Cricetulus griseus: one gene and its partners. The protein of the gene in region 4 interacts with the protein of the main gene of each other region in a pairwise test. Links are inferred from orthologs where the notes say so. Each region holds a gene or a part of one and is shown on either strand. Other genes may lie near its edges. The genes, in order: Pak3, Cdc42ep1, Arhgdia, Cdc42, Plekhg4 and Cdc42se1.

Region 1 (5,293 bases), on a different chromosome or scaffold from region 4:
TCTCTATCTGACTTAGGGACATTCTGCCTTGTTTGGAACTCACATCTAGAAGCATTAGGTTAGTACTTGCATCGATCCGAGTCTCAGCACAGCAGCAGCTCAGCTCCACACCAACCCAAGATAATAGGCTCTGGGGTACATTCTTTTCTTTTTAGAGATACTGTCTGATACATTCTGCTATCCACGGCTAATGAGCAAAGAACCTTCATGTGACCAAAGGACCCCAAGGCCACTATTATTACTGCAGGGCATTGGCCAAATGAGCAAAGAAGCTAATTCTACTCCCACCCACCTCTGCTTCTATTTCTTTCAAACAGAACCCAGGGCCACTCAGAGGCCTCATTTAAAGGAGGGGGCATCCATGATGCCAAGCCCTATCATCAGTGTTCACACTCTTCACCAGCATAATCTTGGGCCATCAGGTACTTTGAGTGGAAGTCATCAACCTCCAGGCTGTCCTATTCATCAACCTATGCAATCAGCACCAACACAGTAAAATAGGAGACTTCAAATGAGCTTCTGGTGTATCTTAATTGCATAAGTATTAGAGTAGTCATTATATATCCATTTCAAAACCAATATAGAGCACAGAAATCTTGTGCTACCGTTAATTACCAGTGACACTACTAAAAGTACCTAAAATGTAAAAATTCCTGAATATTCTGCCCTGGTTACTTTCATATGAGTCAAATGACATGGATTTGATATTTATTGCTATAATTTTCATATTTTTCTTGGTGTTTATTAAACATTTACAGCATGAAGGGAAATTCCTGCATTGAAATTGGTAACTTGTTGCATAAGAATGTAATGCAGGTATATCTGTCTTTATCCATTGGCTATGTAAAAAATGTTGTGGAAATGCATTTTTGGTAAAACAAAAAACAAACAAACAAAAAAACCCAAGTTTACTCCAATGGCCAGAGAGGGACTGCTTTTTTTAAGAGTATCTGGTTAGGAACTCTCTTATAAAATGACAAATTCTACAGCCTGAATGATTCCCATTAGGTTCATTTGCATTGCAAGTCCATATATATATATATATATATATGTATATATGTCAGATTTGCTTTAAGCAAAACCTGGTTATATTAATAAATGAGGCAGACATTTCTTAAAATGGGGATACATTTCGATCCTCATCAATTTGCAATACTGGCTCCTTTCAAATTCATCATTAATCATCATTCTAATCCACACAGACTCATTCTGGGATTGCAGAGAATTTGGCAATAATACTTCAGATTCCCTGCAGTCTTATTTAACTATAACCTTGCCTTTGCACATGCTTCTCATTGAGCTTAGGATGCCATTCTCCACTTAGCCACCTGGTGAATTAATTCCACAAGACTTGCTTGACTCAAATGTCACTTTCCCAGTGAAGCTTGCCTTGATCATAACCCCCACCCCCAGCCTGACACCCCCCCCCAGAGCTTCCACAGTACCCTGCCCATCCCTTGTCATACTGTTTCCAAGCTCTAGCTTGCATAACAGCCTACACTCCCTCAGAACCGATCTGATGTTTTATTCATTTCCATATTTCCAGTACCTAACATTACTACTGACACATGGCAGGTGTGCAATAAATGTTGGTCGTTTGACTGATTGCAATCCTTAACGGCTTGTTTTGGAGACTTGAAAAGCAATGTGTTATCAGAAGCAAAAGCAAAAAAAAAATGTTGAAGGAAAGTTAAGGAGTTTTGTTCATCTTTACTGATTTTTCTGTGATTAAAAACAAAATGGCTACATGCTTTATCAAATATGAGCCTGTAGAGCAAATTCACAATTAATAAGTTCACTGGATGTGTTCCTTTTTCTCTAAACATGCAATTATGTCCTAACACATAACAAACTTCCTTGCTGTAAAGACGACTTGAGGATCCACTAATTACAGGAGGTGGGGAGGCACTGCAAGGTTCACTGGAAGAGCCTTTGAATCTCATTGGCTGAGAGAAAAAACCTGCTAAGAAAGTTAGGAATCTTCTGTGGGTGGGGTGGGGGACCAAATCAAGATGTCCACCAAGGTCTGGTTAACCTAGGTGGAAATTTCAAATCCACAGAGTACCAAGCAACTGCCCCAGCTTGGGGGCGGGGGGGTCCCATCACTTTGAAGTCAACATCACCCTTCCAATGTGGGCAAAACAGGTTGGACTTGATCAGCCTGCCTGCATGTTGCTGCAGTCTGGCTTGGCATGGGATGAGACCCAAGGACATGTAATGGCCAAGAGTAGCCCAGCGCCATGGCGCAGAACACACATAGACACACACACACACTGTGTGTGTGTGTATGTGTGTGTGTGTGTGTGTGTGTGTGTGTGTGAGAGAGAGAGAGAGAGAGAGAGAGAGAGAGGAGAGAGAGAGAGAGAGAGAGAGAGAGAGAGAGAGAGAGTCAAATGCACCAGTCCAACTCACACGAAATTCCACACAAAATCTCCAGCACGTCCCTGGCACACAGTACTGCATTCCTGTATGCCCAGTCACACACAGGGAGTGCCCCCTCACATTCTCTTACTTCCCTAGTATGCAGGAGCCCACACCCCACACCACTAGCAGACAGCAGCCTAGCCAGGATCTGGAAACTACTAAGGACCGGTTTTGTCCTGTGTAACAAAGCCTCAGGCCCCCAGGTGCCCAGCTGGATCCACTCCATCCATCTCTCCCCACCCCCATCCCTCAGCTCCCAGAACAAGAGAAAGCTCAGCTTTGGGAAGTGGATGCTGGAAGTGGGGACGCAGAGAAAGAGCTTTAGGGATGGGCGGGAGCAGGAGTCCGAGTAGCTTCAGTACTCTCTCGCCATGAACCAAGAGGGAAGAAATGGCAAAGGGACAGAGGTGTCTTTCTATCCTATCTCCCCCCACAATCTATTCATACAGCAACACAGAAAACTGGGAAATAATCTCCCCTTCCCTCTGCCCGCAGCTCCTCCCAGTGGCTCTGGGAGCCACCGGTGTTTCAGCAACCCGCAACAAAGCGCCCCCAGCACAGACCTGTTCCAACCTCTTTCGTGGCAGGAGAAGGGAAGCTGCTGCCGAGGGTTCTGCCTTTAGCTGCTGGGCAGGAGGAGCCGGGGATGGGGGGGGGGAGGAGCAGGAATTGGAGGAGGAAGAAGGATGAGAGGGGATAGGCGATCACAGCAGCAGCAGTGGCTGTGGAAGGAGGAGGAGGAAGAAAAGGAGGAGGCTGCTTCAGTGGCAGCTGCTGAGGATGCTCTGGCTAGAGGCAGGGCTGGGTGTGCGGTCTGTGGGCTCACGTGCACCCCATGGCCCAGGGATGCGCGCGCGCGCACGCGCGCGTCTGGGTGTGTGAGAGCATCTGGGTCTATTTTGACTGTGATTATTCCAATTTCGACCTGGTCTGGAACTTGCGGTTCCTGCAATCAGGCGGAAGTGAAACCCTTTAAGTCTTCCAAGCCTGACTGTTGGGCCTGGGGAGTGGAGAGGGGGTGTGGGGAAATCCCCTTCTTTTAGCCTTTTTCTTTTTTGTCTAATCACTGGTAGCTTGAATCTGCACCTACTTCTGAAAATCCTATACCCAAAGAGAAAAGAACCTAAAGAAAGTCACAATCACATGGCTGATTGGATCACAGGGCTGGCCATTTGGACAACTCAGAAGATAATTTTTGTCTTCACAAGGGTTAACTCATGAATTGGATTGCCCAAAACTTTATGGACATTGTACATTTTCTCCTTTCGTTCCATTGCTGTATCTCTATGCTGGTAACCAAAGTTCCATATGATCAACCCTGTTTTTAGATCTCTCTCCTCATCAGGGTTATCTAGGCCCCTGGCTTCTTTGATATATGAATGTCTGTTACAGAATCTTCATATTGTTTTTCCCCTGATAATGAGAGGGGTGTTGATTATTACAAGCTCAGCTTTAGATCAGTGTAGTTCTGTGTGCATCTCTAAAGCTAAGAAAACAGTTGTGAAAGGCACAATTTTCTTTTGTGATTCGATATTTGATGAAGTCCTTTGTTAGAGCCTTGGCTTTAACTCACTTCTCCAATGTTTTTGAGTGTTTTGCCTAATGATTTACACTCAGAAAGTACTCTGGGATTTATAAGTTCCCTGCAATAACATCCCTGTGACCCATTCAGCGAGGATACCATCATTCCCATCTTATAAACAACAAATTAAATTCACCAAGATTAAGTTGATTTGTCTAACATTACATGCTGATAGATGGGAGATCCAGAATAAGGTTCTCTGTTTTATACTGTTAAGCCAAAGTTTCTTTTAAAATTATATTTCAAAAAGAAAGTTAAGAGTCCGAAGAGGTCACTCAACAGTTAAGAACTAAAATTGCTCTTTTAAAAAATGCCTTTATTGGCTCTTTAAAAAATAGTGTATTTTATGTGCATAGGTGTGGAGGTGTCAGATCCCCTGGAACTGAAGTTACAGACAGTTGTGAGGTGTTATGTGGGTGCTGGGAATTGAACAGTGTCCTCTGGAAGAGCAGCCAGTGCTCTTAACTACTGAGCAATTTCTCTGCCCCCGCCCCCCAAAAATTGTTCTTACCGAGAACCCAAGTTTGTTTCCCAGAACTCATGTTGGGAGGCTCACAACTACGTGTAACAGCTCCAGGGAATTCAACATCTCCTTTTGGTCTCCACAGACACCTGTACTCAGGTATACATCCCCCCACATAGATACACATGAATTCACATAATAAAAATCAAATCTTTTTATTTAAGGAAATTTAAAAATCATTGGTGTGGTAAAGAAAGTCAATACTAAGTATAGTAAGATTTTCGAAAAAGCATTTCAGTTAAATTGACACATTGCCACACACATGCTAATGGATTGAACAGAGTTAAAATATCTGAGGCCTCAATCTCCAATTCACAGACACAGTCATCCCTTTGATTTTGCTACTAGTGGTATAAACATAATTTGAAATGACTCTACAGAAAGTACAATAGGAAAATGGTCCACTTGGGTTTCCAGGGGCAATAAGCTTATAAGTGGTTGCCCACCAAGCTAGATCTGTCTCCTCCCTAGGCCACAAAAATGAATGATTGTTTGCCACCAAAAAGAAGAAATCTGTATCCTACATAGAAGTCCAAGCAGTCCCATTTCTGGAGCCAGGCAACTTGAGCAATGCAGAGTGACCCAGAGCAATGATACACTTCTCATCTGGGTCTAGAAGTATAACAGTAAAATATAGTGACACAAAGCTAAATAACATAGTTGTCATTATTACAGAAAAGAGAAACAGTGATTTCGTTAATGAGACTCTATTAAAAACAGACAACTTTATTGTTGTTTTTTAGCTTTATTTTTTAAATTTTAGT
Region 2 (5,044 bases), about 360 Mb from region 4:
ACATTATGAGTTCTAGGCTAGCTAGGGTTACATAGTGAGATGCTGTCTCAAAATAAACAAAACAGTTTTCTGGGCATTTCTTTGGGCTTACAACACTCCCTCAGGTATGGTAACTGCCTGCGCTGGAGCTAGACCCATTTTAAAGAGAAGACAACAGCATGCTCACAGGCAGCCTTGAAATCTGGGTCTTTGACACTGAGCCAAATAGTTTCCTTTCTGAGCTGCACCAGGAACCCTGGCTTGAGGGACGAGTGAGTTTCCAGCTAACCAGAGCACCTTTGAGGGCAAAAGCAAGTGGTATTGATGATCAAGCCAGGACACTGCTGCTCTTGACAAACAGGAAATGTGGTCATCCTGCCAAGGTAGGAGGCCCTGGACAAGTCAATTCACTTTTCTGCAAAATGGACATGATGATGCAATTGTTCCCATAGGGCTCTCACAGAGATTAAATGTGATTATGAATAGTATGCATGAGGTGCTCAATAAAAGCTGGGAGATTTTTAATTGCATCTATACATGCACAGGCATCTGGCCATAGTTAAATACCCAGGCCCTGGCCTGGTTCTGTCCTGTCCGGCCTCCTCACCCATGTGCTTCAGTGCCTCTGAGTCTTGGGAACACCTCCTGATTTCCCTGGGCTGCCCTGGGGGAAAGATCTCGAACCACCTATATCTCAATCTTATCTGCATGCCAATTGAGCAAGTACTAATATGCTTTGTTTCATCATTTGTCCAGCTGGGAAAAATGGCCCTCTCCCCAGGAGACCAGTGTGATAATACAGAGAGCCAACCCTGGAAGCATAGCACTCTCCTCTGTCTGCCTCTCCTTATGGCTCCTCACCCTGCAGGGACAATGCTGCCCAGCTCTGTCCTTGCTCTATAGCTCAGAGACTTTGCCCACAGTCTATCCAGTGTGTGAACCCCCTAGGCTCTCTGTTGCTCTTTCTATTTCTTCAGGCCTTAACCTGAGTTTCCTCTCTTTCCGGGAACCTTGCTCAATATCCCAATGCCAGACTGCCTTAGGGACCTGTCTGTGCCACTTGCAACTTCCAGGATTCCTGTCTGTCCTCAAATTGAAGAGGGTACAACACGATGTAGTGGGCCATCTCTCCTTGAGCATGGCTGACTCTGTTGCCTTCTTTGAAGTAGGGAGGCCTCACTAAAGATCTCTAAGGTGTGACCTCATTTACCTGTTCAACAGCTCTCCTAGTTGCTAGAGCAGGGAACAGGAGATACTGTAATAACTGATGACTGGTTTGATAACTCCACTTTAATAGATTTGTGTGTGTGTGTGTGTGTGTGTGTGTGTGTGTGTGTGTGTGTGTGTGTGTGTCTGCGCGCACTTCCGTGCGCGCATGTGTTTATTTTGGGAACAGAACTTCCATCCTCTGGAAGAGCAGGAAGCACTCTTAACCGCTGGGCCATCTCTCTAGCCCCATGGGGAAACCGAGGCACTGAAACGCAAGGAAGGAAGAAGGGCCATACCAGCTTTAGACTCTATGACATTACCACATGCTAGTGGCCTCTCTACATGTAGACTCTTCCCTAGAGAAGCTAAGTGTTCTGCTGGCATCTCATGGGGCTAGTATTAGGTGGCCAGGACGGGGCTGAAGAGAAAGGGAAAGAGTGAATGCCCACACTTTAAAAAATCCAAAGTCTTCCAGCCAGTTCCCCCAGCTCCAGTAGGAAAGGCTAGAGACCCAGGCCAAAGTTGTCAGTCCTGGATTCCCCGAGGTCATCTGAGGAGCAGTGGGCAGCAAAGAGTCCAAGTGGCCGGCCTCTCTGGGCAGTCCCGGCTCAGGACAGAGAGAACATTTCCGAGGTCGCCCCGCCTAGGAGCGGCGGGCAGGGGCCTGGCCTGGCACCCCCGCCGCGCCCCTACAGCCCTCGCAGCGTGGCTAGCCCAGGAGGGGGCGCGGCCGCTGCAGGCGGAGCAGGGGCGGAGGGAACCCGCAGCCCGCCCCCGCCCGGGGATCCGGCCACCAAGCCCGCGGCCAGGGCGGCGCAGACCGGCCCAGCGACTCTTGGGCTGCGCAGGGACTCGCCAGCGCGCCGGTCCCTGGACCCCCCGGGCTCGACGACACGAGGTAACCACGGGCGCGGGCTGGGGGAGTGCGCACCGTCCTGGGCGCATGGGGCCAACCTGTAGAAGGCCGGGACGCGCAGATTTCTAGGGTTGTTTTGTCACGTTGCGGGAGGGCACAGGGGACCAAGGATCGGCGGACAGAGCACTAAACGAGAGGCGGGCAAAGGGCGAGCCCAGGGCCGTCTATGCGCATTCCTGCGCGGGCAGCGGAAGGGAAAGGATCCCAGGGCCCCTCGGCGGCGCCAGCGCGGTAGCGGGAAGCTGGGGGGTGGAAGGGGGAGCGCGGACGGACAGGGACAGGGCACCCTGCCCCCTCCCCAGCTGCATTCCAGACTGGAGCAACGGATGAGGTCATCCCGTCCGGTTCCCTTCTGGCCACCGCTGCCGCTGCCCGCGCCGGACCGGAGTAAGGGGCACTCCAAAGTCTCCCCTCCGAGGTCCCCAGAAGGGAATGTTTCCCGGTTGAAGTCTTTCCTGAACTTCCCATCACAACTGATTCTGCCCTTGTCCCAACTATGCAAGACTCACCAAGTTTGAAGCCCGTTTTCTAGACCGGGAAACTGAGGCTGAGAGAGCACAAAGGCAGAGTGGAGGGCTGCTTAGCTTTAATTTGGGATGCTGGGGCAAGGAGGCATCTTAGTAAATCTGTAGTGGCACCCAAGTTAATCCCAACACTTGGGAAACTGAGGCAGGAGGGTCACAATTTCGAGGTCAGCATAGACTACATTGGGAGACCTTGTCAACAAACAAAAACCCTGCGTTTTAACTCTCACTTTGCTCCCTAATGGCCCGAGGCGCCTCCTCCTGTCCTAAGGGCAGTGAAATTTAGCAGTTTACTACCCCCTTTCTGGCCTCAGTTTCCCTGTCTTCCACCTCAAAGTGCTGAGGATTTAACTTCTAATCCCAAACATCACTGGTTGGGGACATCTGAAGTAACAGAATTCCACCGTCCTGAGTTGACGTCAAAGAGCTGTACACCCCCCACCCCACCCCAATCAGGCTTTGCGCACCTGCCTGAGGGAGTATCTGGGTATTCCAAGAAGCGGCTACCTCTACCACCTGGTCCTTCCCCACCATCGGAGTGGCTTCCTTGCCTCCACATCCATCATTGTTGGCCTCTGAGTGAATGCATCCTGCTAAAGCCCCCAAACTTGTCCCTGTGGTCATTACTACCAAGGGAGCTCTTGCCACGTGTCCATACTGTTGATCAGTAAATTTAAGAGCTCCGGGGATACTGACATCTCACATGTGGCCTCTCATGCCTAGGTCATAGATGCTTAACCGCAGAGCCAGGATCCGCATTCCTCCCTCTAATAACTTCCCCACTTCTGCCATTGTCACTCCACTGGCAAAGCATTTCTGCCAGCATTGGTAGAACGGAAACAAGCTCCAGCGCGCACACTGTTTCTGTTCTGTGACCTAGGGTTCATTTTCCCCAGGTAAAATGGGTGAATTGAGCGTTTACAGGGGCTGTTTCCTGGGCTTTTGAGAAAAGGGGCCTGTGCTCAACACCCAGCACAGGTGGTGTGAATGTAAAGGCCAGGGTAGTCTGTGGCTAACACCAAGCGGTAGGTGGCTGCCACCAAGGGTCACTAGAATAAAAGATGACCCTTACTTAGGAAGTGTTGGATTTGAGCCCAGGCCTGCCTGCTCTGGGGTGGGGGAATTGAGTTTTTATGTCTTCTGCCCCTTCCTCCTTTCTCTGGCTGGGAGGCCCTTCTGTTTTCTCCATGGGAAGACAGTAGCTGAAGTTGGGCCAGGATACTCTGCTGCTGTAGATGGTATAAATGTAGAAAATGCTATCTAGATGTACCCAGAGGCATTTGGGAGGTGGCTTCATCATAAGGTTGGTCAGGGGGTTGGTCGGGGCAGGAGCCTGGAAGACACTCAGAAGTTAGAGGATGGGGGTGGGGGCTGTGTTCACATGGTAGACACAGCTGACCCCTCCATGTGCCATTTTACAAAGTGAGCCCTATCCGGCTGCACAGCTCCTTCCATTAGACTCTAAAGTTTAGCGACTAGTCTTCTGTGGAGCTGGGAAACCTGGCCGGTGTTTACCTGCCACGGGACCTTGGATGAGTCTGTTCCCTGGGCATGTCAGTGCTCTTTGTAGCCTGAGCCAGCCTTCTAGCCTCAAGGGGGTGTTGGAGAATCATCTAATGACATCATGTCATTGGTCAGCCAACAACAAGCAGAATGCTTTATAACTTCAGCAAACATTCCACGAGGACTTCTCGGAGCTGGGGGTGCCAGGGAAAGGGATGATTCAGAAGTCACCCCCCCAGGGGGGAGGAGCTAGGATTGGAGGAGGATCCGATGGTGGGAAGGAAGAGAATGCGGTCCCAAAACAAAGCAAGCTTTGTCCAGTTCTCCTCTTTGTTTTATTTTGTTAGTTAACCTATTTTGAATTTCAAATAACATAGAAGGGCTGCATTGAGAATTTTATGCTTGCAGGCGGCAACTAGGGTTGAGAAAATTTAAAAAAAAAAAAAGTTGAAACTCAGGTCTAGATCTTTATCAGTTGAACAGGTGTGTGGTGACTTGCCCAAGGTCAAAGGGTGAGCACTCTGAGTCCCCAGTCTACTCTACCCCCTCAGAAGGTGGCAGGGGGTGGTCCTCTGGCCGGAAGGTTATCTCAGCTAATGATTAGGCTGGCTGTAGATTTGGCCATGTGCTAAGCGCTGGGAGGGAGAAAGGCAGGAAAATCCAGGCATCGCCACACCCTCAAAGTGCTCAGGGAAACAAGACTGGGCCCCGAAAGCCGGCAAGGGCTTATGTGAGTCAGAAGCCCCGAGTTCAAGTTTGGACTAGCTTTTTGATGAGACCTTGAACAAGCGTGGCCCTCTCTGGGTCAAACAAAACCAGAGTATGGGCTTACAGGATCCTAAGTGCCCTCCAGACACCTAGAGAAAGAGAAGTAGGGACACAGAGGGGCCCTCTGAGAAGGGTAGGACAGCAG
Region 3 (5,175 bases), on a different chromosome or scaffold from region 4:
CTCCCAACTGTGTGCACTTGGTCCCACGTTTGTCCTGGCTGGGTCCAGGGAGGGCCTGCCCAGGGATGGTGGCACCAAGAGCCAGGGCAGAGGCATCAGGCCAGCTGGCCCAAATGGAGGCAATAAATACTGACAGGCCAGGCACGAGGTTCAGGCCACAGGGCCCAGGTGAGACTAGTAAGGCTCGGCTGGCTTTGTCCTCGGGGGCTCTGTGGGGACAGGGGCTTTGAGTGCTGCCTACAAGGACAGAGAAGGCAGAGGAATGAGGCACCCTGTCCTGCCTCCTAGGTGGGGCTGGAGGCATTGAGTTTTGGCAATTGACCCTCCCCTAGCTACTGGAGCCACCCCCAACCCTGGCCATGGGGAGGGGGAAAGAGCTGGCCAGGCCTGCAGGAAGCAACAGCAGCACACTCCAGGCCTCCCTGGGTGGGTCACCAGGATGGGGATGGCAGACAAGGCAAGGACAGGGGAGACCACATGCTCATGCAGACAGTGGAGTTAAGAGTTAGCGACGGCCCCCAGTACATGTTCCACATGTTAAGGCATCATGGTTAGACAGTGACTGACAGTGATGGATGACCTGGCCAGGGGGGGTGGTGCTTAGAGGACACAACCCAGCCCTTCCCCCAGGCCCAGCATTCTAGCTAGCTCAGCTGGGGCAGAGACAAGGTGGGCTGGGCAACCCAGACAGTGTTCCATTCCATTCTAGAAGCCAGGGCCTGAGGAAGGGACGACAGAGGAAACCTGGGGGACACAGCAGATTGGAGGCCTGGGCTGAAACCCCTCCCCCACTGCACAGGCAGAAGCAGCAATGTGACAACACTGGAGACCACAGGGGCCTGCAGGCAGGAGGTGGAGGAGGGGCAGACAGAAGAGGGGAGGAATGGTGAGGGAGGGTCCTGTCAGCACTTTGGTTTGGGGTGGGTAGGGGTTGGGGGTGGGGCATGTCGGTCCTTCTGTCTGTCCGCCGCCCTGCCCGCCTCCCAGCTGGAGCTCAGTCCTTCCACTCCTTTTTGATGGTGAGGTTCCATTCCCAGGACAGGTGGTCCGTCTTGTCATCGTCTGTGAATCGGGACTTGATGTTGTAGCTGCCCCGAGCGAGCATGCCTTTGGGGGCCTCTTCCATGGGTGTCAGGAACTCATACTCCTCAGCCCGGGGCCCATAGCTCCCGACCATGTAGTCGGTCTTGTCGACTGTGGTGTGGACAGGAAAGGCATGGTTAGTGGCCACGCAAGCCCCTCCCGGGACCCACAGGCTTCCCACTCTATCGGTACGACCACTTACTTTTGACCCCTTTCCTGTATGTGTGCTGGATGTACTTCATGCCTGACACGATCTCTCTGTTCACCTGTGGGGACACAGAGCAAGGGTCAGCCGGCCCCCCAGTGCTGATGCTCTGCCCCTCTGCCAGGCCTCTCCAATCCTCCACCTTACCCGGAAAGAGATTTTTATCCGGTACTCCACACCTTCCTTCAACACAAACGACTGTTTCTTGAAGCTCTCCAGATCACCTGTATGGGGAGGAGGCACAGCCAATTGCCTGGAGGCTTTCCATCCTGCCCCCACGTTCCCTTTCCACAGCCCCTTCCGTGACACAAAGCAGGGCCTTGGAGAGCACCTAGCTGCACTTTCCCCCCTGCCCCACCAGAGGGCACCAGTGCAGAAAATTATTTTTAGGGGCAGCGGCTGGATGCCAGCTGGCCCCACCCAGGGACTCCAAAACCCACTCACCTGTCAGGTCCAGTTCCAGAGGGCCCGGGGACGTGCTGCACACCAAGGTCAGGCGGGTCACAATGACATTGGGGACATTGGGGTCTGGAGAGCAAGAGTCATGAATCAAGAGCTCCATTCCTTAGATTTTTTTTAACTCCCTGGAAGGAGGGGGGCAGACTGGAAAGGGGGTGGTGACAGGGTCAGGTGACATCCACCTACCTGCAGAGACAGCCACTCGGCCCAGCAGGGCCTCCTTATACTTTCGAAGGCTCTCATCATCCTTGTCCAGTTCCTGGATCTCCTGGATGCTCTTCTGGGCTGGGGGCTTGTAGTTGACAGAGTGCTCATCCTCCTCATTCTCGGCCGCGATCTGCGCAAGCTGCTCAGCGGTGGGCTCCTGTTCTGCCATGCTCACCTCTAACCTGGGATACCTGTGGGTGGGCAGCGAGCAGAGCGGTGACAGCCCGGAGGCATTGCAACCTAGAGGGACCCTGACACCTGCCGGGAAATGATGGAGGTAGCCACGCCAGGGCAACTTTTAGAGGAGATAGGAGGCGCTGCCACTGCCCAACTAACTCAAGAGGCTCGTTTGAGAGGGCTACACCCCAGGCACACCATGAAGCCACAAAATGGGGACCACAGCCCGTTCCTCAGAGAAGCAGAACAGCTTTCCTCCCCATGAAGAATGAGTAGCCTCCTGACCAAACGGAACTGGGAGAAGCAACGTTAAACCACGTGGGTCCTGCTGCTGCCCCTAGATGCCCGGGATCTAACCCAAAGACACTCTCACTGGGTCACGGGGAGAAGTTCTCTGAAACGGGGATGCTCTGTGTCCTAGCCACGTGCAGGACAAGGGTCTGTTCCTTCCTGCCGGTGGAATACCGTCCTAAGCTCAACTGCGTGGCGACCAAATGAGACGGTAAATATGCAAGCCCGACCTCCCTTGTGAGGGGTCCGCGAACGCAGAGTGGGAGCTGGTGCACCGGTTGCAAAATAAATCTCAGGAGCCCATTGCTGGACCCTGGTCCTAAAGCGTCTGTGGCGGTGCGGAACCACGCCGGGACGGAAGCGCCTCGGTGCCTTTCAGTTCCGCAGATCCCCACCCGTCCCCCAGACACCCACTCGAGCCCTGCAGGCGATGCGCGGCGGTCGGGGCAGCCGCCGCCCCTCTGGGAGGCGTGCGCCAGAGACTCGGGGGGAGCGCCGGCCCGACACCCGGAGGGTCCCGGAGGCCCCGCCCGACGCGGCCAAGCGTGGCCGCGGGCGACAGCATCCAGGGCGCGGCCCGCGCTTCCGCAGGGCCCGCAATCCGGGAGGGCGGGGGGGGCCGCGCGGCGGGAGCGGCAGGCCGGGCGGGCCCCAGGCCGGACCCCGCCCGCGCGGCCGGGAAAGGGCGCCCCCGCCCCCGACCCGCACCGGGACCCGGACCCGGGACCGGGACGCGGCGCCCAGGCCCGGGCAGCGGCGGCGCTTCGGGCAGGACCTAGAAGGCGCCCGGCCCGCCCGCTGCCGTGACCGCGCCCGCCGCCCGCGCTCGCCCGGGGCCCGCCGCACGCCCGCCCGCCCGCCGGCCCGCGAGCGCCGGGGTCGCCGCACAAAGCCAGCCCCCTCCCCTCGCGCGCCGCCCCGCGCCAGGCAGCGCGCCACTCACCGGAGGCTCGACCGTCGCTCTCGCGCTCCCTCCCGCACCAAGTGACGAACGTCGTCCGCCGCCCGCCGCCCGGACGGTCACTTCCGGGGTCACAAGACTTCCGCTCTCGCGGGCGTGCGGGCGGGGGGCGCCGTGCGCATGCGCCGGCAGGGGGCGCCGGTCGGCGCCGCCGCCATTTTGCGGCCGGCCTCGTGGGCGCGTCGCGCGTGGGCCGGCGGCGTCGCGCGGGGCATCGAGGGGCGTCCGCGGCGCGTGTGGGCCGAGGCCCGGGCCCTTGGGCTCCGGGGCGGCCGCTCTGCCGCCCGGGTTCCGCGGCCGCCGCGCCCGGGCCTCGTCCCCCATTGTCCCTGCAACGCAGAGATGGCAGCGCCGCACGCACGCACGCACGCACGCACGCTCGCGCCGCCGGGCGCGTGGCTTCGCGGGCCGTGGCCCTCTGGGGTCCCCACGAGTTCCCCTCGCCGCGCCCCGCGGGGCCGGCTCACCCCGAGACGGGCAGGAGCCTCCGCAGGGACGAGAGCCAGCACCGCTGCCGCCCTGGGCGTCCGCCACCGCGCTGAAAAGATGACTGGAGGGAAACAGTCGCCCGCCGTTCATCCGCCACGTTTACGGCCTCGTTACGTCACGCGAGCACTTGTTCCCCTGGCCACGCATCCCCAACTCTGAAGCAAGCCAGGTGTCCTTTCAAGCGTAACCGTTTCATGCACTGTTTTCTTCGTCCGAGGAAGATGGCTCCGCAGTGTCCTCTCCCTGCTGCTCAGTGGCAAACTACTGCAAAACCAAACGCTGTCACCACTTGACTGTCCCCACTCTTCCTCTGTGATGGAGTCCGCTTGCCACACACGCACGCACACCACACACAGACACACACAGACACGCACACCACACACACGCACGCACACCACACACAGACAGACACACACACACAGAGACACACACACAGACACACACGCACACACCACACACACAGAGACACACGCACACACGCACAGACATGCACGCACACCACACACACACACAGACACACACACACACAGAGACACACACACAGACACACACACACAGACAGAGACACACACACACAGAGACACACACACAGACACACACGCACGCACACACACACCACACACACACCCTCACAGAGACACACACGCACACACGCACAGACATGCACGCACACCACACACAGACACACACACACACACACACACAGACATGCACGCACACCACACACACACACACAGACACACACACAGAGACACACGCACAGACATGCACGCACACCACACACACAGACACACACACACACAGAGACACACACGCACAGACATGCACGCACACCACACACAGACACACACACACAGACACACACAGACACACACACAGAGACACACACAGAGAGACACACGCACGCAAACACGCCCAGTGAGTCAAGCTAGCTTTTCAGGAGGCTCGAAGTCCTGCACCCAGTGGGCCTAGTTTATTGAACTCTGACCCACCCACAACTCCTTAGTTTGAAGCACTTGGCTCCAAGTGCAAATCTTCCAAAGCGGCTTCTCTTTTATTTAATTTTTTAAATATTTTTCTTTTGGTTGTTCAAGACAGGGTTTCTGTATGTAGCTTTGGAGTCTGCCCAGGAACTTGCTCTGTAGACCAGGCTGGCCTTGAACTCAGAGATCCTCTTGCCTCTGCCTCCCGAGTGCTGGGACTAAAGGCGAGCAACCCACCACCACCACCTGGCCTTTTTACTTTTTGGATTTATTTTTATTTCCTGCATATAAGTGTTTTGTCTGTGTGTGTGTGTGTGTCT
Region 4 (5,392 bases):
TAAAGTGGTAGTGATGATCAAATCCAGGGCTTCGTGCATGCTAGGCAAGCACTCCACTCACTGGGCTACACTTCCAGCCTGCAAATGAACATTATTATTATTATTATTATTATTATTATTATTTGGTTTTTCAAGACAGGGTTTCTCTGTGGCTTTGGAGGCTGTCCTGGAACTAGCTCTTGTAGACCAGGCTGGTCTCGAACTCACAGAGATCCACCTGCCTCTGCCTCCCGAGTGCTGGGACTAAAGATGTGCGCCACCAATGCCCGGCTTGCAAATGAACATTATTAAGATGTTTCTTCTGATATCGGGAAGCATCTGAGACTAGGACAGGATCCCTATTCTCTAGCGGCTTTCGCACTAACAGGGAAGACAGCAAACAAACAGGTACCAAGAAGACAGGGAAGGTAGAAGGATTTGAGAGATCAGAGCTGAAGGGACTAGCACAAGACACCCCAAGTTCTCAGCACAAAGGAGATTTATTTGACCCAGGGGGACAGAGGGCAGGGAATATGAGACAAAGACAGGAGACAGAGGACCAGGGAGAAGGGAAAGAGAACAAGGGAGAGGAGGGAAGGAATATTTGTCCCAGAGGTACAAAGGACTGCCTCTGGATTGAGAGGAGACAGACATGGCCCATAGACAAACAGCAGTTTATAAAGGTAAAAGGGGGAAATCCTGAGTTAGGATGAAATTTGACTGGACAGGTTAATTAGGTAAGACAAAGGGGGGTTTTGATCGCTGGACTACAATACTTTGATAGCTGGACATTGGCAGTCAGCCTCAGGAGGAGGAAGTGGCTAAATAAGGGAATGGACCATGGTGGCTAGTTTTAGGATTATAATCTAACGATTTTTAGCAAGACAGAGGGGATGTGGGAGGACAAGGCCATGTTTGCCACACTCGGGCTGGCTAGAGTCCCTTCAAGAGTCAACCTAGGGGGCCAGGGAAGAGGAGCTAGGCAGAGTAAATGCAGGACCTTTTTGAGGGGGCGGGTCTCTAGCTCTAAACAAAACCCAGGGCAATATTCTATTCTCACTCCTTGACAGGCAGATTGTTTAGAGGCCCGTGGGCTTCAGAAAGCTGTGCACAACAAGTCTCTATTTCTCTTTGAGAAGCAAAAAAGGATGCAGGGTGTGGAGATGCATGCCTACAATCCCAGCACTTGGGAGGTGCAAGGATGAGGATCAGGAGTTCAAGGTCAACCTCTGCTACATAGTTGTGTTCAAAGCCAGCCTGGGCTACATGAGACCCTGTCTCAAACGTCATTAAAGAAAGGTACCCTGGTCATGGGGATGCACATCTTTAATCCCAGCACATAGGAAGCAGAGGCAAGCGGATCTCCAAGTTCCAGGCCAGCCTGGACCATATAGCAAGTTCCAGACAGCCAGGGCTATACACAGAAACCCTGTCTCAAAAAAACCAAGCCAAGCCAAACCAAACCAAACCAAACCAAAAAGACATCCCAGACATGGTGTTGAGTATCAGCACGCAGGAAGCAGAAGCAGGAGAATATGAGTTCTGGGACAGTCTGGTCTATATAGCCATTCTAGGACAGCAAGGGCTATATAATGACACCTTGTCTCAAAATAAAAAAATTAAAAATAAGATATATTTACAATGCTTTTCTTCACAAAGTTCCAAGGACAAAAACAAACTTTAGTGACAACACTGTGAACACTTCTGTTCATAGTTTTATTACGAATAAAAATCACTGGTAAAACGTGCAGAAAACCTGAGTATAGGAGGAACTCAGCCCGCGCGTGCGCGATACGGGCGGAGCCACTACCAAGCCACGCCCACCGCGGCCCGTTCCAGCCCCTTCTTCCTCTTTGTCCCGCCCACTTCCGCGGGCACCCAACCGTGCGTCCCCTGCGTGCTGACGTCAGGCGCGTGCCCCTGTCCGGCAGCCGAGGAGGCCCCGCGCAGTGCTGCCAACGCCCCGGCGGAGAAGCTGAGGTGAGTGCGGGGCCCGAGTAGCCTCCCCGCGGGAGTGTGTTGTGCATCGCCCGGTCCCTGTCGCGCGCCCCCGCCCTCCCTCGGTCCTCGAGGATGCTCGCGGTCGGGGGCATCCCGGTACCTGCGGGCCTCGAGGGGGGGGATTGCCGGGTTCGCGTGCGCCCGCGGGCCCGGGTTCTGAGGGGAACGAGGCGGGGTCGCGGAGAGATTTGGGGCCGGAATGGCGACGAGGCGCTGCCGGGGATGGCGGCGGCGGAGGGCGCATCCCGGCCGAGCTGTCAGTGGCGGCGGGAGAACCAGGCACACCCATCCCACCGGCTCCCCTCCCCCTCCGCCCGTCCGCCCTCCCGCCCGCCCGGGCTCCGCAGACTCCTGGACGGGGGCAGCGGACGTAGGGCCGGGTTCCGGGCCGGGGGCTGGGGGCCGGGGGCCGGGGGCCGCCGGCCGCCGTCTACGTTTTCGGTCTCGACTTCCTGCTTCCCGGGCTCCGCCGTGGACGCGTTGCTGCGGGCGGGCGGCGGGGGAGGGGAGCGGAACTGCGGCCGCAGGGCCGGGCCGGGGCCACGGTGACGGACCGGGCGGCTCTGCGCCTGCGCCCCTCGGCGGTCCCCAGCCCCGCGCTGTGTCCGTCCGCTCCTGCCCCGCGGCTCCCGGGGCTCCCGCGACTGGGCCGGCCTCCTTGCCTTCCGGGACCTGTCTAAGCACCTCCCGAAACCCCGCCTGGCCGCTTGCTCGGTTCCTCATTACTAGCAGGAAATTTTCTTTGTTGGTTTTTCTATTTTTTTTTTTTTAATTCCTCTTTCCTCCCCTTTAAGTCCCGTAGAAATGCAGTGTGGAAGATTACGTCATCTCAGCATAAGGGGTGAGAGTTTTAACTCCTACAAGTCAGGGCTCCACAAATTAAGATACATCTTGTGGCCTTAGTGGGTCACTCCACTCAGCACGTCGGTTCAGAGTCAGGTGGTGTGTTTTTTTTTTTTGTTGTTGTTGAAATCATGTTGCCTGCCTTGATGGCTGCCTGAGATGCATCTAAAATACGGAAAGGTTAAAAATCTTAGGCTTAGGTTATTTTTGGCCAGGGAATACACACTGTCTGCAGCCACTTAGGTAGGCATGAACTTTAAAGGTCCCCTTGGCTGTCTGTACTCGGTTGAACTTTCTTGTGGGAGCAATTCTTTGCCACACTGACCAATTGTGACTTAACCTGATGTAAGGAACCTAAATTTGGTGCATGGTGCTAAGGGTGAGCTAAAAAGAGAATTTAGTTGTATATCTGATTTGTCTTTGTTAGAATTGCAACTTAAAGTTGCATGCTTTAGTTTTACCATTAAAAATGGTTTTCGGATTTATTTTTTATTTTGAAACAGGGTCTCTATGTTTAGTTCTGGCTAGCCTTGACCTTAAAGGGACATTCCTTCCTTCTAAGTCTCTCTTTATAGGACTTATTTATGTTCTGTCATGGGAAACTGATAGAATAGTCCCTGCCGCCTAAGTGCTGGGATTACAGGCATGAACTACTTAAATTACCACCCTTGGTTTTAATTTTTAACCCCCAAAACTTGAGTAATATTTTTAGACTTGTATCACTAGAATTGTGTCCTTTGATTATAAAATGCAGCAGTGCTGAAGAACATTAACATTGCAGAGCAAATGAGGTCCACTTGTGTAATGCATCCTTTTAAGGGTGGCTCATGTTTGAGAAAGAATTTTCCCATTATTGCTCATTTGTATAGAAAATAGCATTGCTTGTTAAGAAACACCAGAGTGGTGTATTCAAATTGACTTTCTGTAGTTTGTAGGTATGGCGCTTGAATCTTCCAAAATACACTGTTAGTCTTTTTGTGACATAGGAGTATAACATTGGAGCATTTATTTACTACTGTATTTTTTAGCTTTCTATGTTTAAAAAGTTTATATGTGAGCCAATTTGTATTTATTTAAAAAGTTTGTGTGTGCACCAGTTTGTATTTTTTTCTTTTTAATTAAGTAATCTGGCTGGTGAGATGGTTCAGTGGATAAAAGCACTGGTCAGGCAGGTCTGACTACCTTAGTTGGATCCCCAGAACCCATGGTGGGAGGAGAGAATCCTGATTCCCAAAAGTTGTCATCTAGCTGGATTTATTTAGTGTTCCATACTTTCAATCTTAGGCAGAGGCAGGTGTATCTCTGAGTTTGAGGCCACCCTTGTCTACATAGAGAGTTCTAGAACATCAAGGACTAGAGAGACCCTGTCTTGAAAAAAGAAAAACAATAACTGTCCCAGATCTTCACATTTTGGCAGCATGCAAGCATGCATGTGTACACACTTAGAAATACACACAGTAATAATAAAAATAAGCAATTACTTTGAAGTTTTAGGTTTTAGACTAAGGCAAGGAAATAAGATTGGTAATTAACTGAGTATTAAAAAGGAGCTTTGAAAATATATACAGTAATTTGTTCAAGACCCAAAGGTGTCTTGTCTTCTGTTACATTCTCTTAAGATGTTTCATACAGTGACCAACCCCGTAGCTTAGTAAACACATTTCCCCTGTCCAGTATTCTAAGCAAGCCCATCAAGACTGAATCCTGAAGTTTACAAAATGTCAAAGTTTGTTTACTTAGGATTTCTTTTTTGCACTTGAAATAGTTTTTTAAAATGTTTTTATTCCTTCATACTTTCATACATGCATACAAAGTGTTTTATATTTTGATCATGTTCATCCCTATCTCCTTTCTCTACCACCTGATCCCTGTCCCCAATATGTTCCCCTCCCAACTCTGTGTCCTCTTTTGTGATCCACTGTGTCTAGTTAATGCTGCCCCACTTGTCATCTTATGATCTATGAAAGAAGCATTTTTATTTTTATGTGTATACTGATAAAAATAAAAAATACCCAAAAGCTATTAAATTTGGACAATTATGTACTTTGTCTTTTTTGGGAAGTAGCACTGATAGGGTTTGGAAGCACAGGTCAAATTATGCTTTGATTTATAGTACTACAATTTAAATGGAATTCTCTCATTTTAGTTGTTTTTTAAGAGTATAAGAAACATTTAATCATTTTAGGGTATAAGATCTCTTATAAAGGGGAACAGTTCATAGTGGGTGCATTTTTCTCCCATAAACAGCTCTCTGTCCCTCAGTGTTAAAGGGCTATTCTGTATTCCTATGATAGTGCCTTTTCAGTCTTTGCAAAATGTTTGCTGTCAGTTTCCCCTGATAGAACATAAATAAGTCCTGTGAATCCAGGGCTGTGACTTGGTATGGCCATCGTGTGTCCTTTTAATAAATATTTGCTAATTTGTGAGGGTTACCATTCTCACTGTTTTTCTGTGCATCCTATAGTCCTTCATGTTTCATTTGTTGAGATTACTTTATTTGCCTGGCCAGCCATATCCAAATCTGGACTCACTGAAACTATTGCTAAGTTCCTTGCTTGTCCTTGTCTGT
Region 5 (5,187 bases), on a different chromosome or scaffold from region 4:
GCGGAGAAGGAGTTACCCTGGAAGAGTGGGCAGGGAGACCTGGCTGTATATGTGTCTTCAGAGACAACTAAGATTGTACCCGTGGACATGCAGACAGGCTGGAACCAGAGCATCTCATCCCTGGAGAGCCTGGCCTCCCCTCCCTGTACCCAGCCTCCTACTTTAACCCGCTTGCCTCCCCACCCACTGGGTATGGAAGAGACCCAGGTTCCTCTTGACATGTCTTCTGACCCTCGTTCTAGCTTCGCCTTCCCCCCAAGCCTGGCCAAAGCTGGCCGTTCTCGAAGTGAGAGCAGTGCTGACATTCCCCAGCAGCAGGAGCTGCAGCCCCTCATGGGCCACAAGGACCACACTCATCTTAGTCCAGGCACTGCCAACTCCCACTGGTGCATCCAGTTCAACAGGGGGGGGCGGCTGTAGCCCAGGGCCTCAGGGAAGAGCAGGATGTAGAGCCCCTGTGGGGAGTATTCCTCAGGCAATGGGCAGAGGAGCCTATACAGCCTAGTATGGGGCCATGGGGGCCTGGACTGAAGTGGCAACTGGGCCTCCTTGGGATTGGTCAGAAGGGTTTCCTGGGCTGGTCCTCACAGGGACCCTTCTTACCACTCTCCCTGCTCTTAACCCTTTCCACTTTCCATTTCAAAAAATGGCTCAGGATCCAGTCCAGAGTTCTAGGGGATAGATCCACAAGCTTATGTCCCTTCTCTAGGGTGTCTTCCTGGACTTACTGTTGGCAGCTGTTCTTGCCCCCAAAGCAAGGGTGTCATTCTTCTGTGGACACTGGTCTCCCCTAACCTTCCTCTACCCCCCAGCATCAGGTCAGGATCAGTGCTCTGGCAATGAGGCTTTATGAGGGGCTGGTCCTCAGAATAACAGGGGTAGGATGTAGCTCAGGCCTCAGCCTTTGGCTCAACTAATGAGTTGGGTCAGCTTCAGGAGTAGTGGGAGTCTGCCTCCACATTTTGTTTTAGCCCTTTCCCTTTGCTGCCAGACATTGAGGTAATGGTGCCTCCTTTTCTAGGACTAGGCCCTGGGCCAGGCTTTAAGTCAGAGCTGCTTTTTAGCCAGTCAGCTACTCTAGGCGTGAGTCAGGAATGTTCTGAGACTTGGATCTGAGATTTCTGAGTAGGAAACAAAGAGGCCTCTGGGCTCCTATGTCTCCACCTCAAAATTTCCCAAAGGGAAAAGGAACCAGGTATCCCAGGGCCACTGCACTGTTACTATAGGGGGCTAGGATGCCTGGCTGCAATGTTTGGGGACAGTTGACTGAGTAACAGGTGGCTTTCCTGGGGTTAGCCCCTGCCTTGTGTTTTGTACCTTAAACCCAAGATACATTAAATATCTCTTAGATGGATGAGTGTCCTCTGTCCATTTGTCTCAGGCTTTCAGGGGTGGGACAAGAAGGATCTGCCTGTTCCAAGATTTTCAGGAGTAGAGAATAGTAGGGGAGTTTTTAGACAAAGCTCTTAGTCCCTCTGGTCCTCGTAAGTACTTTTCTAACAGGAGGCATGGAGTGGCAATCTAGGGGACCACTGTATGGGTTGGGGAAGAAGGTGTCTCAGAACTGGGAGTCCACAAAATGGGAAAGGACAGCAGGAAGAACACCCTGGAGGTCACAGTCTAAACTATCCAAGGGTACCATAGAGACATTTCTAGGACAGTTTAAGGACAGGTGTGAGCCAAGTGAACAAGTGGCTCTCCTCATATGACAGGTAGGAAGTCAAGCTCCAGGGAGTTGACCACCCTGAGAATTTATAAGACAAATCAAAGCAGTATGGGTCCTGAAATCTGTGGATAACAGCATTCCCCCAGTCTAATTCCTAATGTGCCTGAAGATTTTTTTTTAAAACATCTTTGAGAATAAACACCATAAAATTCACTTGTTTAAAATGTACAGTTAAATTTGTTTGTTTTGTTTTTAATATTTATTTTTGCTGGGTATGGTGGTGCATATCTTTAATCCCAGCATTCAAGAGACAAAGGCAGGTCCATGTCTATGGGTTCAAAGCCATCCTGGTCTATGTGGCAAATCCAGAGACAACCAGGGCTACATAGAGAGACTGTCTCAAACCAAGGTTTATTTTTGTTATAATTGTGTGTAGGTATGTGTGTCTGCATGTAGGTATGTACATGAGTGCAGGTACCCTCAGAAGCCAGAGGCACTGGGTCACCTGGAGCTTGAGTTGCATGTGTTTGTACACCTGGTGTGGGTGCTGGGAATCAAACTCTGGTCCTCTGGAAGAGCAACAAGTGCTTCAACCACTGAGTCTTCTCCAGCCCCAGTTTTTAGTATATTCACATAGTTGTACAAACCTTCTCATGATATAAGAATAGAACATTTTCATCATTCCCCCATGAAGTTCTGTACTGACATCTCCCCTCATCCCACCCACCACACATCCATAGGCATTCTCTAGCCCACTTTTCATGTCTCTGAGTCTGAGGACCTTGGAACACATCAAAAACCCACAGGCTTGGTCAACTTTTTTTTTTTTTTCTGTGCATGAGAAAAAGGTAGAGAAGGAAGAGTGACAGCTTTATATTCAAGTTTGCTAACAGCTGGTTGATAGGGCTTGATAGTTAATTAAAGTACTTAACAATCCGGAGTCAATCCTAGCTGTTACTATCTATATCATCGGGGCCTGTTACCCTAAGCTTTTTGAGACTTGGTTTTCTCTTCTATAATAGGATGGTTGAAGCAATGTGTAGTGGCAAAATGCCTTTAATCCCAACACTGGGGATGTGGAAGAAGGTGGATCCCTGTGGAGTTGAGGCCAGCCGGGTCTACATAAAAAATCCCAGGCTATCGAGAGGTACACAGTGAAATCATGTCCCATAAACAAAACAACAATAACAAGGGTTAACAATTATATTTAGTATCTCATAAGATTACAGGTAGGATTAAAATGGGAAGGAATTGTCCTAGCCCTGGCTCTGTGGGAACAAATGGTAAGTTTTTACTTTATCGTGTTTATTCTGCAAGGCAAAGATGCGTGGAGAATGCTGTGGCTCTTTGAATTCTGGGAAGAAGGGGGATAGGAAGAGTAGTAGATTGTGGAAGCTTAAGTAGTGGATTCCAAGAAAGGGAAGCTAGAGATGGAGGGGCACTCCGGAGGCTACTTCAGCAGCACAGTAGGTGAAGAGGACGAAACAATAGGCAATTGTTTCCACTGCTTTTTAGTGTCAGGATAACTGGGGAGCTGGCCCAAGCATGGAGATTCCTGAGCCTACTCCAAAGTGTCTGATTTTTGGAGCCAAGCTCTCACTATGTAACCCTAACTAGCCTGAAACTTGATATGTAGACCATGCTGGCCTCAAACTCACAGATCTGCCTGCCTGCACCCTCCCCACCCCAGTGCTGGGATTAAAGGCATGTGCCACTATGCCCACCTACTCCAAGAGTTTTGATTTAGCAGATCTCTCTAGGCCCAAAAAGCTAGGGAGCACATCTTGGAAAGTGGGAAAAGGTGCCAGGCATTTGCTCTGTAGGAGCAAGCAAGTCAAGAGTTTGTCCACTTGACTGGACAAAATGACATGGGTGGTTATGCTACTTGGGATGTATGGAGAGGACTGTTGGATCTAGGCCTTAAAGAGGAAAGTGTGTGTGTGTGTGTGTGTGTGTGTGTGTGTGTGTGTGTGTGTGTTCAGAAGCTATCCACTTTGAATTAACATAGGTCTCTCATGAGCCTGGAGCTTGCTAACTAGGCTGGGCTGACTAGCTAGTGAGCCACAGGATCTGCCTGTCTCTGCCTCCTCAGCAAAAATTACAAGTGTGTGCTACTATGTTTAGCTTTAAAAAAAAAAAAGCCCTGAGGATCAAACTCAGAGCCTTATGCTTGTAAGGCAAACACATTACCCACAGAGCTATCTCCCCAGCTTCCCTCCATCTAAAAAAAAAAAAAAAAAAAAAAAAAGACAGGACCTTGTTATGAAGCTCTGTCTTACTGTCTTGCCTGGAACTTTTTTACTTATGTAGAGCAGGCTAGCCTTGAACTTGTGATCTTCCAGCCTTTTTATCTCAAGTAGGTGAAGAGGCATGTACCACAGCACCAGGCTAAAAGGAAGGATTTTGAGGATGATGAGGGTCTTCAAAATCAGAGAAAGTAGCATGAAACAAAAGACTTAGTCAGCTGCGTTTCCAAGAGTGGTCTGGGAGTTAGGTAAAAAGTGATGCCTCTGGGGAACTTGAATGCCATACTAAGGAGCCAAGAAAGGGGTTATTTAGGTCAAAGATGAGAGGGGTCTGAGGTTGTCTTTGCTGTTTACAGTCGCACTGAAGAAGGGTAACCAGAATTTAAGTAATTATGGTATTGCTCCTGTATCCCCAAGCCTAACAAAGCCCAGAGGTCACTTTTTTCTTTCTTTTTACTTTTTTTTAAAAAAATTGGTCATGTGTGAAGAAAAGACAGTCAGGAGAGGACTAGTGAAGGAGCAGGGGAGGGGCCTGTCCACATTTGACGATCTCAGTGGAAAAGGCTTCAGCAGCCAGCAGAACCAGAGATGGCTTCCATGAGTCACGGTTCAGACTTGCAAGCTCAGCCCACAAAGCCTGCTGTGGTCAGCCACCCCAGGTTGGCTCTAGGCCTAGTCCCCCAATGTCCCCCACTAGGCCAGTGTCTGTCCCTGTTTCTGTTTGTGCCTTTACCATCCCAGATTTGTTTGTCGTACAGCCCTCTGCCTCTTCTGTCTGGGTCTGTCTCTATCAGTGACTTTCTCTAACTCTGGTTTCCACATGACCCACAGATGGACAGTTCAGGGCGGTAGGGGCATTGTGACTAGTCTTAGATACCCCTAAATATTAATTCTGTGCCAGGTCTGAAGTGCAGAGCTAGAAGTATGAAAGTGGACAGCATACAGTCTGCTTACAGGGCACATTCTATGTGGAATGGGAAAGCCACAGCCTAGTCCTGCCTCTATCTCAGCATGTGTGCCCTCCCCCAACTGCCTGCTGTGCTCCATGGGCCCAGGTTAGCTAGGGCCTACCTATGCCTGATGCCTCTTATTTGCTTCCATCACTCTGACGGGGTATGTACCTGCCAGAAGGTCCCTCTACTTCTTACAGCTCCTGGGGGCCTGGCTGGTGGGTGGAGGTGAGCCTCAGAGTGGAGAGGGAGGAGAGGGAAGAGAGGGACGGGGAGGCAATGACTCAGTGGGGGTGGCCTGGGACAAGAACCAAGGACAGAAGCC
Region 6 (4,081 bases), on a different chromosome or scaffold from region 4:
AGTCCACACATTACGTGTACAAGACATGGAGCTAGGGCCACGGATAGGTGCACACACAGTCTACACAGCTTTCCGGAAAGGCAAGGTCAGATATTAACTCCAAATGGACTCTGGGAGGCCCGACCTCAACTGGGACAAGTGAGGAGGAACAAAGGCAATGGAGTGAGAAGGAAGAAATTCCTCACTCCATAAGTATTTGTTGAGGTTCACACTGATAGAGTTAGTGTCATAGGAACTAGGTGGTCCTTAAAGAAAATTTAGGTGCTGGGGCAAGGTAAGAAAACAGGGAGGGACAGGGTGGAGGCCTTGTTTGTGAGAACAAAAACCACTATTTCCTCTTCGGAGTCACTTATGTGCCCCTCCCCTCCTGCCCTAACCCAGGAAAAGGGGAGCTGAAGTTGGTAGCACCCCTGCATTCATTTCTGCCACTTTTCATTTTCTCTCACTGTCTCATCCAAAGTTCTCTTAGCTCCCTTCTTCCTTAGTCCCAGTAGTCATTGCCCCTTACCCTGTTGATGGTCTTTTTGCACTGTTTATTGTGAGAAGCCACTGTGAGCCTTCTGTGTTTGGAGGGGGTCAGGAGTGGGGTACCAGTAGTAAAGCCTCCGAGAGAGAAGATGGAGGCTTAGCAGAAGGTCTCTGGGAAATGGGAATAGGGAGGGATGTTTCTCACTAACAGTTTTTTTTTTTTCTTTCTGCTAAAATTCAGGAGTCTACATCTAAAGAAGACAGAACCTTGTGCCTGCCTGCCCAAGCCTCTTGCTGATGATTTTAGTGGCTTCGGGTCTGAGACTCCAACTTTCACTGCACGGCTAAGGGTCTCTATGATTCCCACATTTCTAGAGCCATCCAGCTGAGTGAACCCAAGGCTTATTATACCTGAGAACAAGGACTGGGTGATTAGCAACAAAACAAGAGCCCTCTCTGGGGCCTCTGGCAGAGGCCTGAAGCTGGAACCATCAGGGAATATGAGTGAATTTTGGCACAAACTGGGCTGCTGCGTGGTAGAGAAGCCTCAGCCGGTAAGTCTTCTGACCCCACCCGACACACAGGAATTAGTTACCATGTGCCATGAAGTAGACCGCCATCTCTGCTCTGTCTTGTGAAAAACCCTTTTCTCACATACCTCTTGAGAGTGTCTGTGGCAGGGCAGGTGTGTTCACGTGCAACAAAGGAGACTGTGTGACAGAAGAGTTGACTAGTTCTAGCTGTCACCTCCTCCTGTTCTGAGGTGGGCAGGAGTTGTAGATAGAACTTAAGAGCTGTCAGTGTCCCCTCATCATCTAGAGGTGACTTTGCTTTGTCCTTTTTCTTTCTTTTTGGTTTTTCGAGACAGGGTTTCCGCTGTGTAGCTTTGGAGCCTATCCTGGCACTGGCTGTGGAGACCAGGCTGGCCTCGAACTCTCAGAGATCCGCCTGCCTCTGCCTCCCGATTGCTGGGATTAAAGGCGTGCGCCACCAACGCCCGGCTGGCTTTGTCCTTTCTTTGTGTGTTCACTCAGCAGGCCATGTCCTTACCACTCTGGTGACATTGTCTCTGATTTGTTATTCCAACTTTGTCTTTCCTACCCTGATGTTTGCCAGTTACACTGCCAAATCAACCCTTAACTCTTAGTGGTTTTTCCCCATCCTCCATGGGGGGAAGGAGATGGCTGCATGTGTGACTCCTTTCCTCTCCAAACAGAAGAAGAGGCGAAGACGGATTGACCGAACCATGATCGGGGAACCAATGAATTTTGTTCACTTGACTCACATTGGCTCTGGAGAGATGGGGGCTGGAGACGGACTTGCCATGGTAATGAGAGAAGGGGGAGGTGTTTATTTGGGGGTGTAGCCAAGTGAGGGACATAACAGTACTCAATGGAAAAACAAGGATATTAGACTGTAGACCTGGTCCCCAATGGTGTGCATTTCTGATCTCTAGGGCTGGCTCCCTCTTTACATATGGCTCTTCATTGGAGTGAGGGGTATGTATGTTGTCATAGTTGGAGAGCTTCTCAACCATGGCTCTCCTTACTGAGAACTAATCAGATCTAGGCTGTAGTTCAGTTGGTAGAGTGTTCTCCTCGAATGCAGGAAGCTCTAGGTTTGATCTCCAGCTCGGCAGAAACTGGGTGTGGTGACTCCTACCTGTAACCTCCGCACTGGGAACTAAGGATTGCAGGCTCAGGGTCATCCTGCATAGGGAGTTTGAGGCTAGCCTGGCCTAGAGACCCTATCCCGAAATAGAAAAGGAAAACCTGTTGAATCAGTGTCAGAGTGATGCATTGTGACTGGGAGTCTTGGGCCCACGAAAGGCTCTGTTCTAAATGTCTCTAGTGCATTTCTGCTCTCTGTAAGGGAGATGGGTCTGAACATAGTTTTTTAATACTGGTTACAAAACTAAGAAAAAAATATTGTGTGTGTGTGTGTGTGTGTGTGTGTGTGTGTGTGTGTGTATCTCATTAGTAAATGACTCAGTTTTACCTTGTCTTCATGAGACTTCTCTGAGAACAATGGTGGTCAGGTTTAAAGTCTTCAGACGGATGTCGTTGTCAGAAAAGAGATGAGGTCAAGCCCCTCCTGGGGGCACGGGGTAAATTGTTGCTTGTTGTGGAATGCAGAGAGTTAGGTGACTGTGTGACACATGCTTTTCAACAGACAGGTGCAGTTCAGGAGCAGATGAGATCCAAGGGAAACCGAGACAGACCATGGAGCAATTCTAGGGCTTTGTAGTTCCCATGGGACTGGTAAGTGACAAGAGAAACCCATTGACACTGTGCGTGTGCCAGCATGTCCTGTTGCCCTGCTTCGGACCTTTAATCCTTTGATTCTAGACTGAGAAGTGAATTGGTGGAAAGAATTACAATGGAAGTTCAGGAACACAATCTTTACAGGAATGGGGTGGGGGGCATGATGGCACCCATAGTCCCGGCACACTGGAGGTAAAGGCAGCAGGAATAAATAGTTCAAGCTTCTCTTCAACAAATAGTGAAGCGAAGGTCAGTGTAGGCTACATGGTACCCCCATCTCAAAAAGACAAAATTTGAGGAAAGAGCCTTACAGAAATTTCAAATGTGCACTATAGACTGGACATGGTGGTGCACACCTTTGCCCAGCACTGGGGGCAGAGGCAGGGGATCTCTGCAAATCTCTGTAGGTTAGGACTACATAGTGAGACTTGTCTCCTAGTACTCCCCCACAAAGATATGTACTATATAGTGCTGTCTCCTTCAGGATTTGTTTCCTTTTTTCTTTTTTTTTTTAAGATTTATTTATTTATTTATCATGTATGCAGTATGTGATAGAAGAGGGCATCAGATCACATTACAGATGGTTGTGAGCCACCATGTGGTTGCTGGGAATTGAACTCAGAACCTCTGGAAGAACAGTCAGTGCTCTTAACCATCTCTCCAGGCCCAGGATTTGTTTTCTTTGAGAGCAGACTGCCTTTTTCTTCTCCAGTGGGGTTTTGGTAGGTAGCTGAAGTGGCTTAAATTCACTTTGTAGCCCAGGCTGGTTTTAAATTTGGGGTCCCCCTTCCAGAAACTTTCAAGAGCTAGGACTACAAATGTGTACTATTGTGTCTATCTCTAGATCGTCCTTTAAAAAAAAAAAAAAAAAAAAAAAGTTGTTTGGCCAGACACTGCTTCATGCCTGTAATTCTAGCACTTCAGAAGTTGAGGCAGGAAGATTTCTGTGTGTTTGAGAGCAGCCTGGGCTACAGTGTGAAACCAATAGTTGATTTTTTTTTTTTTTTTTTTTTTTTTTTTTTAAACTCAGGTTCTGCAGTCTTGAAGTTCTGGTTCCATGTCCAGCCCAGAAGAAATGCCACCCTCACCAGGTCCCTTCTACAACCAGTGACCCAAGAGCCCCTCTCCTCCTCCTCGTCCTAACAAGTGCCTCAAAAGGCATGGGGGCTGGACTCCCTCTACCCCCTCTGGCCTCTGCCCCTCCTGGAGATGGGGTCAAGGCAGCAGGACTGACCAAGTGACTACTGGTGGGCCAGAGGAGCTCAGCTGCAGCCCTGGGCACCCTAGATCTGAGCTGGGGGTTCTCTGGGAACCTGGAATGAGTTCCCTGCTCCTGAATGAAGGTCGGG

Evidence for each region.
Region 1: the proteins of Cdc42 (region 4) and Pak3 interact in a two-hybrid assay, tested with the Homo sapiens proteins (2 studies listed by BioGRID and IntAct). The link is inferred for Cricetulus griseus from reciprocal best matches to the Homo sapiens genes CDC42 and PAK3.
Region 2: the proteins of Cdc42 (region 4) and Cdc42ep1 interact in binary tests that used the Homo sapiens proteins (3 or more experiments, as listed by UniProt). The link is inferred for Cricetulus griseus from reciprocal best matches to the Homo sapiens genes CDC42 and CDC42EP1.
Region 3: the proteins of Cdc42 (region 4) and Arhgdia interact in binary tests that used the Homo sapiens proteins (3 or more experiments, as listed by UniProt). The link is inferred for Cricetulus griseus from reciprocal best matches to the Homo sapiens genes CDC42 and ARHGDIA.
Region 5: the proteins of Cdc42 (region 4) and Plekhg4 interact in a two-hybrid assay, tested with the Homo sapiens proteins (2 studies listed by BioGRID and IntAct, with this or other methods). The link is inferred for Cricetulus griseus from reciprocal best matches to the Homo sapiens genes CDC42 and PLEKHG4.
Region 6: the proteins of Cdc42 (region 4) and Cdc42se1 interact in binary tests that used the Homo sapiens proteins (3 or more experiments, as listed by UniProt). The link is inferred for Cricetulus griseus from reciprocal best matches to the Homo sapiens genes CDC42 and CDC42SE1.

What each region holds. Positions count from the first base shown.
Region 1 is NC_048604.1:37,087,220-37,092,512, forward strand, and holds the start of Pak3 (serine/threonine-protein kinase PAK 3), read right to left. Parts: upstream 3,264-5,293; 5' UTR 2,998-3,263; exon of another isoform or gene 2,988-2,997; intron 1-2,987. UniProt on the Homo sapiens protein: Serine/threonine protein kinase that plays a role in a variety of different signaling pathways including cytoskeleton regulation, cell migration, or cell cycle regulation.
Region 2 is NC_048595.1:375,939,058-375,944,101, forward strand, and holds the start of Cdc42ep1 (cdc42 effector protein 1), read left to right. Parts: upstream 1-1,928; 5' UTR 1,929-2,086; intron 2,087-5,044. UniProt on the Homo sapiens protein: Probably involved in the organization of the actin cytoskeleton. Induced membrane extensions in fibroblasts.
Region 3 is NC_048600.1:133,067,480-133,072,654, forward strand, and holds Arhgdia (rho GDP-dissociation inhibitor 1), read right to left. Parts: upstream 3,501-5,175; 5' UTR 3,366-3,500; intron 2,802-3,365; exon of another isoform or gene 2,653-2,801; intron 2,146-2,652; 5' UTR 2,124-2,145; coding exon 1,934-2,123; intron 1,817-1,933; coding exon 1,733-1,816; intron 1,513-1,732; coding exon 1,436-1,512; intron 1,350-1,435; coding exon 1,286-1,349; intron 1,195-1,285; coding exon 995-1,194; 3' UTR 910-994; downstream 1-909. UniProt on the Homo sapiens protein: Controls Rho proteins homeostasis. Regulates the GDP/GTP exchange reaction of the Rho proteins by inhibiting the dissociation of GDP from them, and the subsequent binding of GTP to them.
Region 4 is NC_048595.1:15,952,364-15,957,755, forward strand, and holds the start of Cdc42 (cell division control protein 42 homolog), read left to right. Parts: upstream 1-1,837; 5' UTR 1,838-1,959; intron 1,960-5,392. UniProt on the Homo sapiens protein: Plasma membrane-associated small GTPase which cycles between an active GTP-bound and an inactive GDP-bound state. In active state binds to a variety of effector proteins to regulate cellular responses. Involved in epithelial cell polarization processes.
Region 5 is NC_048596.1:181,654,891-181,660,077, forward strand, and holds the start of Plekhg4 (puratrophin-1), read left to right. Parts: upstream 1-2,106; 5' UTR 2,107-4,571; intron 4,572-4,599; exon of another isoform or gene 4,600-5,025; intron 5,026-5,087; exon of another isoform or gene 5,088-5,187. Other genes in the region: Slc9a5 (sodium/hydrogen exchanger 5), read left to right, coding at 1-420. UniProt on the Homo sapiens protein: Possible role in intracellular signaling and cytoskeleton dynamics at the Golgi.
Region 6 is NW_023276806.1:61,269,955-61,274,035, reverse strand, and holds part of Cdc42se1 (CDC42 small effector protein 1), read left to right. Parts: intron 1-709; 5' UTR 710-968; coding exon 969-1,022; intron 1,023-1,684; coding exon 1,685-1,795; intron 1,796-2,640; coding exon 2,641-2,715; 3' UTR 2,716-2,729; intron 2,730-3,762; 3' UTR 3,763-4,081. UniProt on the Homo sapiens protein: Probably involved in the organization of the actin cytoskeleton by acting downstream of CDC42, inducing actin filament assembly. Alters CDC42-induced cell shape changes.